2 linked regions of the Daphnia pulex genome follow. The protein of the gene in region 1 purifies or fractionates together with the protein of each later gene. This does not show direct contact. Links are inferred from orthologs where the notes say so. Each region holds a gene or a part of one and is shown in the gene's direction. Other genes may lie near its edges.

What was found. The genes of interacting proteins can lie anywhere in the genome.
Region 2: the proteins of endoribonuclease Dcr-1-like (region 1) and protein argonaute-2-like purify together in Drosophila melanogaster (affinity purification with western blotting; 5 studies listed by BioGRID, with this or other methods). This does not show direct contact. The link is inferred for Daphnia pulex from reciprocal best matches to the Drosophila melanogaster genes Dcr-1 and AGO1.

Annotation. Positions count from the first base shown.
Region 1 is NC_060018.1:8,402,821-8,410,853, reverse strand, and holds the start of endoribonuclease Dcr-1-like, read left to right. Parts: upstream 1-3,100; 5' UTR 3,101-3,235; coding exon 3,236-3,295; intron 3,296-3,396; coding exon 3,397-3,512; intron 3,513-3,570; coding exon 3,571-3,726; intron 3,727-3,793; coding exon 3,794-4,123; intron 4,124-4,237; coding exon 4,238-4,470; intron 4,471-4,565; coding exon 4,566-4,692; intron 4,693-4,760; coding exon 4,761-5,175; intron 5,176-5,248; coding exon 5,249-5,757; intron 5,758-5,815; coding exon 5,816-6,326; intron 6,327-6,382; coding exon 6,383-7,068; intron 7,069-7,156; coding exon 7,157-7,306; intron 7,307-7,377; coding exon 7,378-7,481; intron 7,482-7,542; coding exon 7,543-7,806; intron 7,807-7,878; coding exon 7,879-8,033. Other genes in the region: serine protease filzig-like, read right to left, coding at 178-274. UniProt on the Drosophila melanogaster protein: Endoribonuclease which functions in microRNA- (miRNA) gene silencing and, independently of its ribonuclease III activity, also acts in the short interfering RNA- (siRNA) gene silencing pathway.
Region 2 is NC_060022.1:5,187,292-5,195,376, reverse strand, and holds the start of protein argonaute-2-like, read left to right. Parts: upstream 1-3,093; 5' UTR 3,094-3,398; coding exon 3,399-3,459; intron 3,460-3,526; coding exon of another isoform or gene 3,527-3,635; exon of another isoform or gene 3,636-3,658; intron 3,659-4,053; exon of another isoform or gene 4,054-4,290; coding exon of another isoform or gene 4,291-4,309; intron 4,310-4,824; coding exon 4,825-5,239; intron 5,240-5,311; coding exon 5,312-5,538; intron 5,539-5,598; coding exon 5,599-5,955; intron 5,956-6,022; coding exon 6,023-6,219; intron 6,220-6,278; coding exon 6,279-6,502; intron 6,503-6,570; coding exon 6,571-6,818; intron 6,819-6,879; coding exon 6,880-7,008; intron 7,009-7,082; coding exon 7,083-7,249; intron 7,250-7,307; coding exon 7,308-7,492; intron 7,493-7,574; coding exon 7,575-7,668; intron 7,669-7,750; coding exon 7,751-7,987; intron 7,988-8,056; coding exon 8,057-8,085. Other genes in the region: uncharacterized protein LOC124196069, read right to left, coding at 944-966, 1,215-1,453, 1,543-1,696, 3,527-3,635.

The DNA of each region.
Region 1 (8,033 bases):
TCTTTGAATGGAGGCGGTTGATTGACCCCGCAATCGGCAGATGATTATTTTTCTAGTAGTGACACTTTTGCAGGTCAAACATCGAAAAGGCGGTTTTTAGAGCCAATGGCGTGTTTAAGCGGTTTTCAGGATGTAGAAATTAGAAAGCCAGCAACGTCATGAAGTTACACACATTACCTTCTCCTTCTTGGTACTGGGTTACCGTAGTCGTAATAGATTTTGCAAGGAGAGGTGAAGCAGCCAGAAGGAGCCACAGCCAGAAGAACGTAATCATCTTGGTGCAGACTCTTTTGTACACTATGCAGAATAAAAATATAGTCACAAAGTTGAATGAACGCCTTTGAATGGCGCGTATACAAATGAAATGAAATCCCAGTTTGATTACGAGAAACCGGGTATTACACTAACAAAAACAGATGGGTGAATAACCTTATCACCACCTGTTGTTGTTGTTGTACCATGTTTGTGAATCTCTCCGGTGGTCTATCGTATTTCGCTGCCTTATGACAAAACGACTTACTCATATAAATCTGGGCTGTCACTTTTGAAAATGCTTGGCAGCAAATGGCTTGACCCATCCAGTAAAAATCAAAATGGGGGAAAATACTACGTAGTACTACAAACAAACTCACCTAAGTTGGCCGCATTCCCTTCTTAGAGTTGACACTATTAGGTAATGAGCCAATAGGTAAATCTCTTTTGTGATTTGTTGTTCTTTCTCGATTCGGCGAATGCGTTGAGTGAGAGGCCAACAAATTGACTCCGTTTCTTTTTTCAATCTTCTCGCAGAACAAGTTGCACAAGTCTAGAGGATTTGACGAGAATCCGATATGGTGAAAGATTTCCCACCGAGGACGGCTGGAGGAAAAAAAATCGTCGACAACCGTTAGATCTCAGCGCGATGGGACGTTCACCTCGGAAAGATTTTTCTCTGGCTAGTTTAATTGTTTTGGTTGGCTTGTCTGTGAGGCGTGTATAGGCAAGGCAGGTATAGCATGTGTATTGCCTCTTCACTTCCGCCTTCTGTTTTCTTAAACCGGATCACTTCTTCGGTCATCCAGCTGTAATGATAGCTGATGCCCTATCCTGTACTTTTACTACTTCCCCACTGCAGAATGCCAATTGATGCAAGACAGGTTGCGATGGCGCCAATGACTCGTCGTTCGTCTAGTGCTGGAAGACCAAATTATCCAGCCGGAAAGCAACAAGCAACACTACACGAAGTAACAGACACTTAACAGATTGTTTCGAGTGTGGTAAATAGAATAAGAACACGGATTGGGGGGAAAAAGGAACGCCAACTGAAACAATTTAATAATAAATAAAAGGACGACTACACAGCGAGTCTGTTGTCGACCAACGCTACCAACTGACTGAGCTTTTCCACCTGGCTCAAGGGGGGTAACACCATACCAGTTGCTCATTTCTCCCACTGGCGATGGAAAAACAAGTGGAAGGAAGAGCTCGATAGCAGCGCATACACAGACAAAATACCTTTCTATAGCTTTTTTCAGCCTTGCTGTATATGAGTGCTGAAAACACGTTGAATGTGGCTCTCGTCAGCCTTGAGGGCTGCGTCTCGCAGGAACGGATTCGCACTCTACTTAAACTGTTTAGAAGCATCGCCTCATTAGTAAAACGCATCTTAAAAATACCGAAAATACACGTGAGACTGCAAGCAGTACATTGAACTATCAGTGAAACACACAACTAAAAGTTGCAGCAGAAATTATAGAATTTTAGCAAGGTCTTAAATATAATGGGTTGTTGTAAAATGTGACCTTTAAACTGCGTAATATGCTTTAACCAGAGATGGCTTTAACAACATTCCTACTATGTTACATTTTTCGGTTTAAGCAACCGTAGTGTGTGGAAGGCAATGTGAAGGTATATTAAAAATTTGAAAACCGCTGCTTGAACCAGAAAACTTATAGGGGTGCGTAACACGTGAAAACGCTGTTGAAAAATGGAAAACAATGAACAGTCTAGTTATGGTGAATGATCTTTCTGCGGTCGAGATTACTAGAGTTATCATAAGTTATTTTACACATTAATTGGTTTATTTTCCTAGCCTTAGCTATTCTTATCTAGCGACTAGTGTATTATTATTTAAAAAAAGGCCAATGGGTGTCCGCCTTTGGGATTTTGTTGCTGCACCAATAGACAGTTGGGTGATTGCCCTTGTATCGTTGTTATCCAAAAATGTTGAAACCGGATTTTTCTTAATCCAACCCGATTGTGACTTTAACCCAAAATATTCAGAAATGATTGATATGATTGTCATCGGTATTTTGACTAAACTATTCTTGGAAAGACAAGAGAAAAAAAAAGCACTCGTTAAAATGAATTAAAAATTAAATTAAAAACAGGAAACCAATGATAGAGATCTACAGTCCTACAGTTCATTTTCATCTCACGATCAATGACACATAAAATTGTATCCAAGTTGCCTTGTTCATTTTTATTTGCATTATCTTAGCGACCGATCTCGGCTTCAGCTGAATCCGATCGGTAGGCATACAACTACAACGTTCACACGTCCTCCTCAGACTGACCACACCAACCTCAATTACAGCGACCAGGTGCTCCGCAGTCGGCAGTCGTCGAATTCACATTTCTGTTATAAAACGTTAAAATTCGCAGAACGAGAGAAAACTGAAATGGATGTATAATAACAAGAACACTATAATTAATAAAAATTTAAAGTAGATGTGGGGAATGAAAACCCATGGTGATGCGTGATGCTGACGATAACATAACGAAGGCCGTTAGGCCCCATCATCTTGCAAGCGCGAACACCAACAATTCCGTATTGTTCGACATATCTAGAATACTAAAAAACAATTAAATGATTATATATGAAAAAATCTACGTATGATTTAGGTTTATATGCTTGTATGCTGTAGAGTTACCGATGATATCTAACATCGTATACAACTATACATTCTTTAATAAACAATCAGACAAAGTAATGATTTAAATATGTGTGTCTTTTCCTCGCTAGATGAAGCAAAATTCCCCTTCAGGGTTAAATCAACCCCCCGGTTAACCCTGCAAAAGGGAGTTTCACGGCCATGTGATATTTTAATATGGCATCGTTGTTTAAGTCATCCTCATGCTGTAAACCTGTAAACAAAAAACTTTTTACATCTGAGTTCTGATGTTCTTAAGTTGTTACTAAGCTTCAGAAATTTTCTCGAGTTTCCTCTTATGTCCATTCGTTTTATTCGCTAAAATGTTACCTCAAATGATGGATTTATCATCAAATGATAATTTTACTCCAAGAGATTTTGAGGTTTGTATAGGATTTCCATACTATTGTTAGACTTATTCTTTAACAAATTTATATTTGATTGCCATGTTTAGTTAAGAAATATTGTTTATACATTTTTTTAGGTTGAACTTTTTGAATCTGCAAAAGTTAAAAATACTATTGCATGTTTAAAAGCTGACTTGGGTAAGATGTTCATTGCTGTAATGTTAATTCGAGAAAAAGCTTTTGAAGTGTGCAAGTAAGTTATGAAGTGATGTAAAATTTTAACTCATTAATTTACTTACTGTTTTAATTAGTTCTCTGCTCTTACCCAAGGGAGGTTTTTGCTCAGTTTACCTTACCCCAACAATCAAATTGGCACTTCAGCGTTCAGCTTACTTGCGCCATCACACTCCATTGAAAGTAGGAATTTTTCATGAGAAAAAAGGTGTATTGCAGTGGAGTTCTGAAAGGTAAATTTTTATAGAAGTATTTTATGGATAAAATTAACTGTAAAACACTTAATATGTATTATTCAAGATGGACAGAGGAGTTGGGGAAAAGTCAGGTGCTTGTCATGACATATTCCATATTTCTAGAAGTCATCCACAAAAACTTTCTCAAAATGAACAAGCTTAATTTGTTGATATTGGATGACTGCCATAATGTTATGAACAATGAAGCTTTAAAAGGAGTTTTAACTCTCTATGAAAATGCAGCAAGTAGTGTACATCCAAGAATCCTTGGATTAACTGCATCTATTGTAAATAACATATGCAAGCCGATGGAACTGTCTCAGTTGATAACTATTCTGGAAACAAAATTAAAATCGGTTATTTCGACTTCCAACAACGTTTTGTCAGCCTTGCAGTAAGTATATGGTGATTAATTCATTTAGTGTGGGCATGATGAAGTCCAATATGCTATCTGCTTGCTGACTACTTTTGTGGAAAATTAACTCTTCTAATGTTTTATTTAATCTAGGCATTCAACTCGACCCAAAGAATTGATATGTGAAATATCGTCCAAGTATGAAGCCACAGAGCTGCAGCAAGAAATAATGGGTCGTATTCTTTTATTGAATGATTATCTGCGAGATCATCGATATGATCCCGCTGAGTACTATGGGGAACAAGATTATCTAAAAGAGATTCCTAATCCATGTCATGAACCTCTTGATCTACTTGAAGAATACATCCAAATCATTCAAAATTTTGGTGAATAATCACAAATATTTTTATAAGTTTTTTTATTTATTTTTAGAAGTTTACGTTAGACGATTTTAAAAATTAATACAATATAATTGACCTAGGTCCTTGGGGAGCAGACCGTGCTGCTTTGGTATACCTCATTCATTTAGAAAAATTGAAAACGAAAGCAGTTTATGAAAGACACTATCTTCTATTATGCCTTGTCTTCACTGTTTTACTTGAAATAAGGTTTGCGCTTTTAAAGTACACATTTCAACGTACTTTGTATACATGATATATATATATTTACTTTCTAGATCATTGTGCGAAGAAGAGTTTCAGAAATACTCTGAATATGAACGTATCGTGAAGTTTAGCCATCCCAAGGTTCTTCGCCTGTTGGACATTCTTCGGATCTACCGACCGCCGATACCTTCCGTGCTGCCCACAAGTGCTGAATTAGTAGAAGTAAGCGATTCTTTAGTTTCGTCCGAAGGGCAAACTGTTCAGACCCCAAAGTTGGCAACCGAAACGTCGCAAACCGCAGAATTAATTGAAAACGGTCCAGCGATTTTGCGTCAATCGACAACTCAACCAGGACACACTAGTCGACGGCGGCGTCCTGATTTCTCAAATCGCCATCACCGAAATCGAGAAGATGCTTACCAGCTCTGTGGGATGATTTTCACTGAAAGACGTACTACAGCAAAATTACTCTACCATCTTTTAAAGGTTCCACAACGACAAAATTCTCGTATTGCTATGTAATATTTAATGCCGAATATTCATTTACATTTTTTTATAGGATGCAAGTCGTTGTGATCCACAACTAGCTTATCTAAGCCCGTTGTATACGGTTGACCGAATGGAAGGCGTGAGTGTCAAAGAAATGGAGAATGAAGAAAGAAAGCAAGAAGACGTCATGAAACGATTTCGTAGTCGTGATTGTAACATTCTTGTAGCCACTAGCGTATTAGAGGATGGAATTGACGTTCCGGCATGTCATCTGGTTATTCGTTACGATTTACCACAATCCTACCGGGCTTACGTTCACTCAAAAGCTCGAGCTCGCGCTAAAAAAGCACATTACATCCTCATGGTCGAAAATGAGCGCATGGATGAGTTTTTAGTGGATTTATCTCACTTTCATGCAACAGAACAAATTCTGTTAAGTAAAAGCGGGTATCACAATTCGGTTGCTGAGTTTTTCAACCACAACGAAGATATGCTTAATTGCATTCAGGCTCCCTACCCTTCTGATGAAACTTCTAATTCGTATGCATCTTTGCAAAACGCGATTTCTATAATTAACAGGTATCACATACTTTTTTAATTCTGTAAAACTAGGTTTCATGAAAAATTTCTGTTGTAGATATTGCGCAAAGTTGCCTAGCGATTGTTTCACACGCTTAACCCCTGTGTGGAGGATACGTACCATAAAACGAGAATTAATTGAACCATCTGTTTTGGATAAATGGATTGGACTATTTAAAAATAGTGGTGCAACAGAAAACGTTTTCTTGGACGTAGCATACATATGCTCGTTGCAGTTACCAATTAATTCTCCTCTGCGAAAGACTGTATTAAGTCAACCTATGCCATCAAAAGTAACGGCCAAACGATCTGCGGCACTAGAAGCATGTCGGTTATTGCACCAAAAGAAAGAGTTGGACGATCATTTCTATCCAACGGGGAAGGAAAACCTTCGGCTTGAAGAGGAAGAGGATTACAATGCCGATTTGGAAGAAGAAAATGTACCAGAAAACTTACCACGCCCAGGCACTACCAAGCGAAGACAGTACTATTATAAACAAGTAGCTGATCCGTTTATTAACGGTATTCCACGTCCTGATCAGCCTTGCTATTTGTACGCGATCACAATGGTATTCGTATTAGTATGTCAAAAATTACTGTAATAATAGTTGATATTTTTTGTTAGGTATTGAGTGAGCCTATACCTGAGGAGCAAAACACGCGTGGAAGAAAAATTTACAAACCCGAGACTTCTATTCAAAGTCTGGGAATTTTAAACAGCAAACCTCTTTCTCAAATCTGTCCGTTCCCTATTTTCACTCGCTCAGGCGAGGTGGAAGTGGAAATTGTAAAAATTTCTGATGCCATCCGAGTGACCGAAGGGCAGTTGAAACAAATTTCTGATTTTCAACGCTACATTTTTCGAAACGTACTTTCCTTGGAAAAGGATCCTATGTTGTTAGATGTATACAACGCCGACTGTTCTTATCTAATCGTTCCTTTAAGACGAAGTTCATTCTCGGAACACTCTAAATTAAGCTTGGATTTTGTATTCATCGATTTAATTTCGTCCGTTCGAGATTCGAAGCCCCAATTGATAGCCGAAGAAGTCAGATCTGGATATGTCTTTGACCCTCGATTGTTCTCTGATGCTGTCGTAATGAAATGGTATCGTGATCAAGAACACCCACAATGTTTCTATGTGGCCGAGATATTCTACGAACTTAACCCTCAATCTAAGTTCCCTGATAACAACTATCCAACATTTGAAAAATACTATCGCCACAAGTATGGAATCCAAATTCAGAATCTGAAGCAGCCACTGTTAGACGTCGATCATACCTCAGCCAGACTCAATTTTTTAACACCAAGGTGGGCAAAAGAAAATGTGTTTAGTGAAAGTTGAAAAAAAAAATATGATTATTATATATATTTTTTTATGATCCTTCTAAATTTATAGGTACGTCAACCGCAAAGGAGTAATGTTACCAACCAGTTCGGAACATACAAAGAAAACACAGCGAGAAAGTCTGCAACAAAAACAAATACTTGTTCCGGAATTGTGTAGCATTCATCCTTTTTCGGCCTCACTATGGAGACAAGCAGTGTGGTAATTTAAACATTAAAAGACATTTAAAAAAAATGAATTGGTTCTATTCGTTAATTTTGTCTTTTCGTTAGTCTTCCTTGCATTCTTTACAGACTGAATGGACTTCTTTTAGCAGAACAACTCCGTTGTAAAGTAGCAACCGAGATTTCTTTGGGGAGGAGTCAGCTGGAACCTGGTTAGTCATCAAATTCGTTTTATGTAATCCGTATTTATCTTTGCATCCTTTACCTTGTTAGGTTTTTGCTGGCCCGCTTTACGATTTGATTGGAAATGCAAGTCTTCAGATCCTGCGTTACCACCTTTACAGAGAGAAAGTATTGCTAAAAAAGTGGAAGACACGAAACTGAAAGATTGCCCTGAAGAAAACGATGCGAGTAAATCCTCCTCAAAAGTTCCCAAAAGGGAAATCAAAGAAGGGAAAAAAAGTGCAGGAGCTTCTTTGTTGGATATAGGCGTGTGGAACCCAGATGCAATCAACGGCAGTAATAATCAGAGCGATAGTATGTCATAACTTGATTATGAGTCACATTATATAGTTGATGCTTGTTTTTTTTTTTTTTTTTAAATCCCAGACAGAAACACAGAAACAGCTGATGAAGACTACGACTACAACGATCTACAAGCGGTAGCCCTGCTTACCAATGATAGCGGACTGGATTTTGATTGGTCCAAACCAGTGGTGGATATTACTGGGCATGATGGATCTCTCCCTGCATTTGGTGTCCCC
Region 2 (8,085 bases), on another chromosome or scaffold:
TGTGCATTTGTACCCAAAAGTTTCGTTACTGTGTCCATCGACGTTTGGAAAAGGTCATTGACTTCATGATGGGACGCTGTCTGTACACCCAACGAGCAAGGACATCACTTGGCATTTGCATCTTTATATTGGTATCCATCGGTTTCTTTTTCTTTGTTTAGGGGTACCAGGAGAAGCTGTTTGAAGCAGCTTGCCAATTCCTTCAAGCGACCATTTTTAATGAGTTATTCGTGTGCAAACACACTGTTCTGTGACGTTGCCATAGCATTTGAAATGTTAATAGACGTTTGGCACGGCAAGCTTCATAATAGATTCTTTGATCAAATATCAAATAGAGTAGGTATACTCATAAACAATAAACACGAATATATCCTGTAAACTACACAAGCGTTTTGCCGAATCAAAAATAAACATGGCGTTTCTTGTCGTCTTGCTTTCGCCGCGGAACAATCTGCGATTCAATTATAAAGCTCATATTTAACTTTCGCGGAACCAACTTGCAATCTGTCTGAAGTGCCTTGCATTGTTTGTTATTTTGGCAAGCAGTAAACTCTTTCTCCTATTCCTTCATTTATGATCGCCATCTGGGTACAGCACTCCCTTTGTTGCCTTTGTGTTGTATATAAATGAAAGTTTTCGCAGCGTCATCTCCAGTCTGAGAAACTGGGATCGCCAAAAGTTCAACAGCACTGCGGGAACAAGCTGTTCCATTTATCGTCGAGTAAGATCGGCTCGTATCGATCCTTAAAATTCTATTCGCCTTTTAGAATGAACAGAGATCGAGTTGGCTGTTTTTCTTTTTTTTTCACCAATGAGAAGTGCAGTTATCTATCAAATAAAGATGGATGGCGAATCTCTTTACTCTCAGTTTTATTGTTTTGGGCATAGCACAACGTGATTGAGTGTTTCCATTTAGACTTCTTTGTGCTCTCGTCCAGGATCTTCATTGGTGATGTCCCAGATTTTCTACAAAGAGGGAAAAAACGGATATTGGAAATCTTTTTACTGAAGTTGTTTAATTCATTTCTGATTACAGAGCCCGGGACAAGAGTGCCACACCTAATCGGGCTAGCAGCCAAGTCTTCATCATCACCGATTCTACCACACGAGAATGTGATGCAATAGCGCAATATATCAACAGAGTATGTACATAGTATGTGTGTATTGATTAGTTCGTGAATGGCGTGAGGCTGCGGGCCGAAACTAGGCGTTACCGGATAATAATATAGCGGAGAAAACGAGGAGAACAGCGGTTGTCACCGTTAAGACCCAGCCGTCAGCTTTGGATCCGGTAAGGATCGATCCTGAATGAACAATGTGGTCGACCAAGCCGTTTCCGTGGTTGCATAAATCGCCCACGCAAGCCGTAAAGCACGTCCTTTCATCCTTTTCGATTTGGCATTTGTTCTGCTCAAATACTTTGGTCCGCCCGTCACATCCACGATAGAAACTCCTAAACAGTTTTCCGGATTATTTCTTTTTTCTCTGTAAATCTTCGCAAAACATGTTGTCTCAGATGGAGACATATCGATTCATACATACTTGACACGCTGAGATGGCCATTGTTCTACTCTCACGATCGTGCAAGCTTCCCGCGTGCAGCCATCTAATATTCCATGAGGTAAGGTGGAGGGGTTCGTCTGGCATTGGCTACCCTCTTCGGTAGAAGTGCAACTGTAGCAACGCATTGCACCATCTGTGTATATAATGATGAATGAGAGAATTAAAACAGCAGCGAAAACAATATGGCAATTTGTTATTTAAGTCGGGGTGGGCGTATTGATCCAGCTACTTCCGGTTGTGCATCTCGCCCACACGTCTTATAGGCCCCCCCATCGCCCCAAATCTTCTCTCTCGACTGCGTTCACACATGTATGATCGCTGGAAACTTGGCTGTCATCTTGCCGATGTTATTCACCATGTCATGTGGCCGCTTTTGGTATGCCCACCGCCCTATCTATAAAAGTTCTTGCAAGCCCCATGACGTTGTTCCTATGGCAAATCTATGCCAAAAAAGTAATCCAGATGAAAACCTTTGAAAAAAAGGAGAAAAGGGAACCCGGTTTTGTACGCACGATAACAAGCTATACGAAACGAACTCTTGTATGAACGAAAAATATCTTGGCCTGAAGCCACTATATTTCCATTGATTCAATTTTCGCGTCCTATTCCTCCTCAACCGAGTCGCTTAATAACATTTTCCCGCGGGGGAAAGTTTTGCGGCATTACAGGTCTGATAAACTATTTGTCGGGATTCAGCGAGTCCATAACCTACTACTACTACCTTATCTCATTACTAAGTTGGCCAACAACAAAGACTTTCATGACATGTCTTTAGCGAAACCAATTCTATTAGAATAACCTAGCAACATAATAAAGTTACGCAGACTTCTAAGACACCAAACGCGCTTCTAAGAATGAAAATCGAGTTTATAAAAGTAAATTTTCATTTTTAAAATAAAAAAACGCGGAAAAATCGATATTTGATTTGGAGAAGGAAAACTCAACGCCATCTGACGTTCAAGTCTAAAACCGCAAGACGATTCAATGTGAGCTTTGAAACTTGAAAATAGGTGTCGCTTCGAACCGACGCCGACGGGACGAATCAGGACCAACTACGCACCGTCTTGGTAAGCAACCATGTGTTGCATCTTTGACACACAAATGACGCGTCAAAATGAAATCGACGTTTGCTAAATATATTTCACGGCTGACCCTGAGGACTTCATTACGAACAAACTACGAAAAATTCAATGTCAAACGTCATTAAACAAGAATTTCATGGTTATTACTTTTTTCCATCTCTAGGGATTTGCGTTTTATCTTAAGAGAAAGGAGGGGGAAATACTTCTCTAATGGGAGGTGGATATATCTTTCATTGGCTTGCGGGTAGGGTGGTGGTGGAAGAACCGGGTTAAGTCTGTAGACGTACCCCAAAAAAGAGAAAGAGGGGGCGAAATAATAATAATAATAAAAGAAAATAAAAAAACCAGAGGGGTCAAAGAGGTTTTCCCCCTCCTTTCTTCTCTGCACACAACAGTTGGTGAAAGAAGAAGAAGAATTGTCTCTAGGCCGACTCGACACTGCGTGGTCGTAGCCCAAGTGCGTTCTCCGCCTGTCAATCGACGTGCAGGAAACCTCCAAAAACTGCTTTTTCAGTCGCTCATTATTTAGTGCGCGTGTTGTTTGTTTTTTCTCGTTTCTCCACACATGAGATTGTGAAGGGCTGATATCTCAAAACCAGCGGTTTGTTGCCTATCGCCCCAGTCGTCGTCGCCGTGCGTGCGATTTTTCGGCATTGTACTGCGCATTACACGAATCGCACACACGACACAACACATTCTGTTTCCCCACACACAGTAGGAGGGTAGTCGACTTGTGCGTCTTAGTTGAGCAAAATGGGGGTCGCTTGTACTCTCAACACTACTCATATTCTTATGGATAAATATGTCAATGGCAGTAAGTTTTCAATCTCTTTTACTATTCTCCCCCTTCTTTTCTCGCATTTCAACTCGGGTTTGTTTACCTGTCAAATGGCTCCGATTAGTGGTGGTTGACAGCGATGTTACCAATTTGGCGAACAACACTGTCCGGATGATGACAGCACCAATAGAATTCGAAGCAATTGCAAACATTGTCGTGTTTTGACAGATGAATTGGGAGTGTAAGTTTTTTTGTTCGAATCACAACAATGACAACAACATCGGGCACTCGATGACACTACACTAACTTTCAGGAAAACTAGCGTGAGAAATTAGATAGAAATTACAAAAAAAAAAAAAAAATTGTGTTGTGAAAGTTGTGGATTCCCCTGGATTTTGACCTCCCTCCATTTGCTACAGCCCAAGTTACTAAACAAAAACCGTGCCTCGAAATTCACATTTAAATTAGATGAAACCCTGAAATAATAAAATAGAATAACTAAACTAATTTTTAATCAAGTTGTCAATTGCGACAAACTATTTGATAATGACAGAAATAAAAATTTAAATGTGGACTTTTCAAAACGACGTTGCAAGTTGTTGGGAGGGATTTTTCCCTTGCGTCTGGTCGCGCCGCCATCTTGGATAAAACGAAGGAAGGGAAACGGACGGCCTTTGTGGGGTTTTGTGTGCCACAACTTCCGTGCGTCGTTGTGTGCCTCGTTTCATTTGGTGTTTCATTTAAATAATTCGTTACTCCATCCATCCATTCTGGAATTTGTTATTCTACACCAATTTTGCTCTCTCGAAAGCCTTCGATTTTTTTAACAGCGCCAAACTTGTCGATGTGGAATCGTGTTGACGTATTATGTACCCTGTTGGACAGCGTAAGTTGCCCTCGATTCTGCAAATTGTTTCGACCCCCGCCCTACAGTGTTTCTCATCTGTTATTCTATTAAAAGCTCTTACCACTCAGTGATATTTTCATACATTCACTAGAACAGAGAAGTAGTTTTTAAAAGACCTTGAGTTTGCTTTTCCTTCCGTATACGGTCGTCTGGGGTAATGATAAGTAAAGTGAAGGAACAGGGGCGTGCTGGCGTCATTTATACTTTTCATTCGATTCCCTCTACGTTTACACTTAATTAAGATTAAGAAACGTTTGTTTGCGTAGAAACGAACATTGAACGTTAGTACACTTGTAAGTTTGGCTAAAGATCTTTAGTCTTTCACATTATGCACCATAGTTCTTCAGCGCAGTAACATTATTCTCGTGCAAACTGAAGATGAATTCCATTGATATTGCCGGTTAAAGACTTCTTTGTTGCTGTTGTATCTTGTTGTTTGTTTTTATTGTTCGAAACAGATGTACTAACTCCCGTTTGTTTATTTCTATTTGCAGCAGGAGCACTTGGCCCTTCAGGTGTTGGAGCCCAGTCAATTGTATCCAGTATCGGAGTGGGAAGTGGAAGTAACAGTAGTAGCAGCAGTACCAGTAGTAATTGTGGAACAAGTTTGAGTGGAGTGAGTGGTGGAAGTGGAGGCGGAACTGCATTAATGACTCCCATGGCCCCTATGGCCCCGGTTCCACCTATGATGCCACCAACTCAACAGCCCCCACCTATGGCTTCGGCCGCGCCGCAAGCTGCGGCACCAGAACTTCCTATGTTTGTTTGTCCACGTCGTCCAAATCTTGGTCGTGAGGGTAGACCTATCATGCTAAGAGCAAATCATTTTCAAATATCTATGCCACGAGGATACATTCACCACTATGATATCAGCATTCAACCAGACAAGTGCCCGAGAAAAGTCAATCGGTGAGAGAATAATTCATCTTTAAAATCGTCTTGGATTTCGCTTTGTTTACCATTCGTCATACAAACTTACAGGGAGATTATCGAGACGATGGTGCATGCCTACAGCAAAATATTTGGAGCATTAAAACCCGTTTTCGATGGTCGAAGCAACTTGTATACCCGAGATCCTCTGCCGATCGGCAATGAAAGAGTCGAATTAGACGTTACCCTGCCCGGAGAGGGAAAAGATCGTGTTTTCCATGTAGCTATCAAATGGTTGGCCAAAGTATCCCTCTACGCTCTCGAAGAAGCTTTGGAAGGTATGTTTATTACAACTGCCGATTACCTTTAGCGCAATTTTAATATGTTTCTCCTCTTAGGTCGCATTCGTACAATTCCGATGGATGCCATTTTGGCTCTCGACGTGGTTATGCGCCATTTACCTTCAATGACTTATACTCCAGTGGGTCGGAGTTTCTTTTCATCACCTGATGGTTATTATCATCCGTTAGGTGGTGGACGTGAGGTTTGGTTTGGTTTTCATCAATCTGTCCGCCCTTCACAATGGAAAATGATGCTAAACATTGACGTCTCGGCGACGGCATTTTACAAGTCGCAACCAGTGATCGAATTTATGTGCGAAGTGTTAGACATTCGCGATGTTAACGAGCAGAGAAAACCTTTAACGGATTCTCAGCGAGTAAAATTTACCAAAGAGATCAAAGGTGGGTTCGCTGGTGGGTTGTCGCCTCATCCCTGTTCTTGTGCATCTTGATTAACGTTCCTATTTCTGAATCCCCATAGGCTTAAAAATTGAAATTACCCACTGTGGAACAATGCGACGAAAATATCGTGTATGCAACGTTACTCGCCGTCCAGCTCAAATGCAGTCTTTCCCACTGCAGTTGGAGAACGGTCAAACTGTCGAGTGTACAGTGGCCAAATATTTCCTGGACAAATACAAAATGAAATTGCGCTACCCGCATCTGCCTTGCCTGCAGGTTGGTTCTAATTTGGTCATATCCCCCTACATCTCTTAATCAATTTTTTTCTCCTGCAGGTTGGACAAGAGCACAAGCACACCTATTTGCCGCTGGAAGTTTGCAACATTGTAGCCGGGCAACGATGCATAAAGAAACTGACTGATATGCAGACATCGACCATGATCAAAGCCACTGCCCGATCGGCTCCCGACCGTGAGCGTGAGATCAATAATCTTATTCGAAAGGCCGACTTCAATAACGATCCCTACGTTCAGGAGTTTGGATTGACCATTTCCAATAGGTCAGTTATTGATTTGCAATTCTTTACGAGTGACATATTAAAAATGTAACTTCGACTTTGTTTTGCAGCATGATGGAAGTGCGCGGTCGTGTGCTTCCGCCACCAAAACTGCAATATGGGGGAAGGACTAAGCAACAGGCGCTACCTAATCAAGGTGTCTGGGATATGCGTGGCAAGCAATTCTTCACCGGAGTGGAGATTCGCGTTTGGGCAATCGCTTGCTTTGCACCCCAAAGAACAGTTCGCGAAGATGCGCTAAGAAATTTCACACAGCAATTGCAGAAGATAAGTAATGACGCCGGGATGCCCATCATTGGTAATAACGAAATAATTGTGGATTATGAGAATGGGTTGTCATTAAATTGAATATTGTTTAGGCCAACCTTGTTTCTGCAAATATGCCACTGGCCCCGATCAAGTGGAGCCTATGTTCCGCTACCTCAAGTCAACCTTCCAAGGTCTCCAGTTGGTGTGTGTCGTTCTACCGGGCAAAACTCCTGTTTACGGTACTATCATTTACACATTCTACTTGTGTCGACATCGACAATAATGAAGGTTTTTAATTTGATTATTCCAATAGCCGAAGTCAAACGTGTTGGCGATACTGTACTTGGCATGGCCACACAGTGCGTACAAGCAAAGAATGTCAACAAAACATCGCCTCAAACTCTGTCCAATTTGTGTCTGAAGATCAACGTTAAACTTGGTGGTGTTAACAGTATCCTTGTTCCTACCATTCGTCCTAAGGTAAAACGTAAATCAACTACTTTTCACACGAAAATGCTCATGTGTGTTGTTTTCTTAGGTGTTCAATGAGCCTGTCATTTTCCTTGGGGCCGATATAACTCATCCTCCAGCTGGTGACAACAAAAAGCCGTCGATCGCAGCCGTTGTGGGCTCGATGGATGCTCATCCTTCGAGATACGCTGCAACTGTTCGCGTCCAACAACACCGCCAAGAAGTTATTCAAGAGCTCAGTGCTATGGTCCGGTAAGAAATTTGACATTTTGATAATCCGCATATTGAGTTTCATGTGTTTTTGAGGCTGATGAACTTTCCTTTTTTTTCCCAGGGAATTATTGATCTTGTTCTACAAAACTACAAGGTTCAAACCCAACCGAATTATCATGTATCGCGATGGCGCCAGTGAAGGCCAGTTTAGCACCGTAAGCAACATTCTACTAGACTAAACTAACTTTGGCTTTCTAAAAAAGAAATACGTTCGAATAAACGACACGTTTTCTGTAGGTTTTGCAACATGAGTTGACCGCTATCCGCGAGGCATGCATAAAATTGGAACCTGACTACAAACCAGGTATCACGTTCATCGTGGTTCAGAAGCGCCATCACACCAGGCTCTTCTGTGCTGACAAGAAAGAGCAATCTGGCAAATCTGGAAACATTCCCGCCGGTACCACTGTCGACGCGGGCATTACACACCCAACCGAGTTCGACTTTTACTTGTGCTCGCATCAAGGCATTCAGGTGAGACAATTTATTTCCTTAATATTTATTCAGTGGTTTGATATTTAATGTATTTTTCTTTATGTACAGGGTACTAGCCGTCCTAGCCACTATCACGT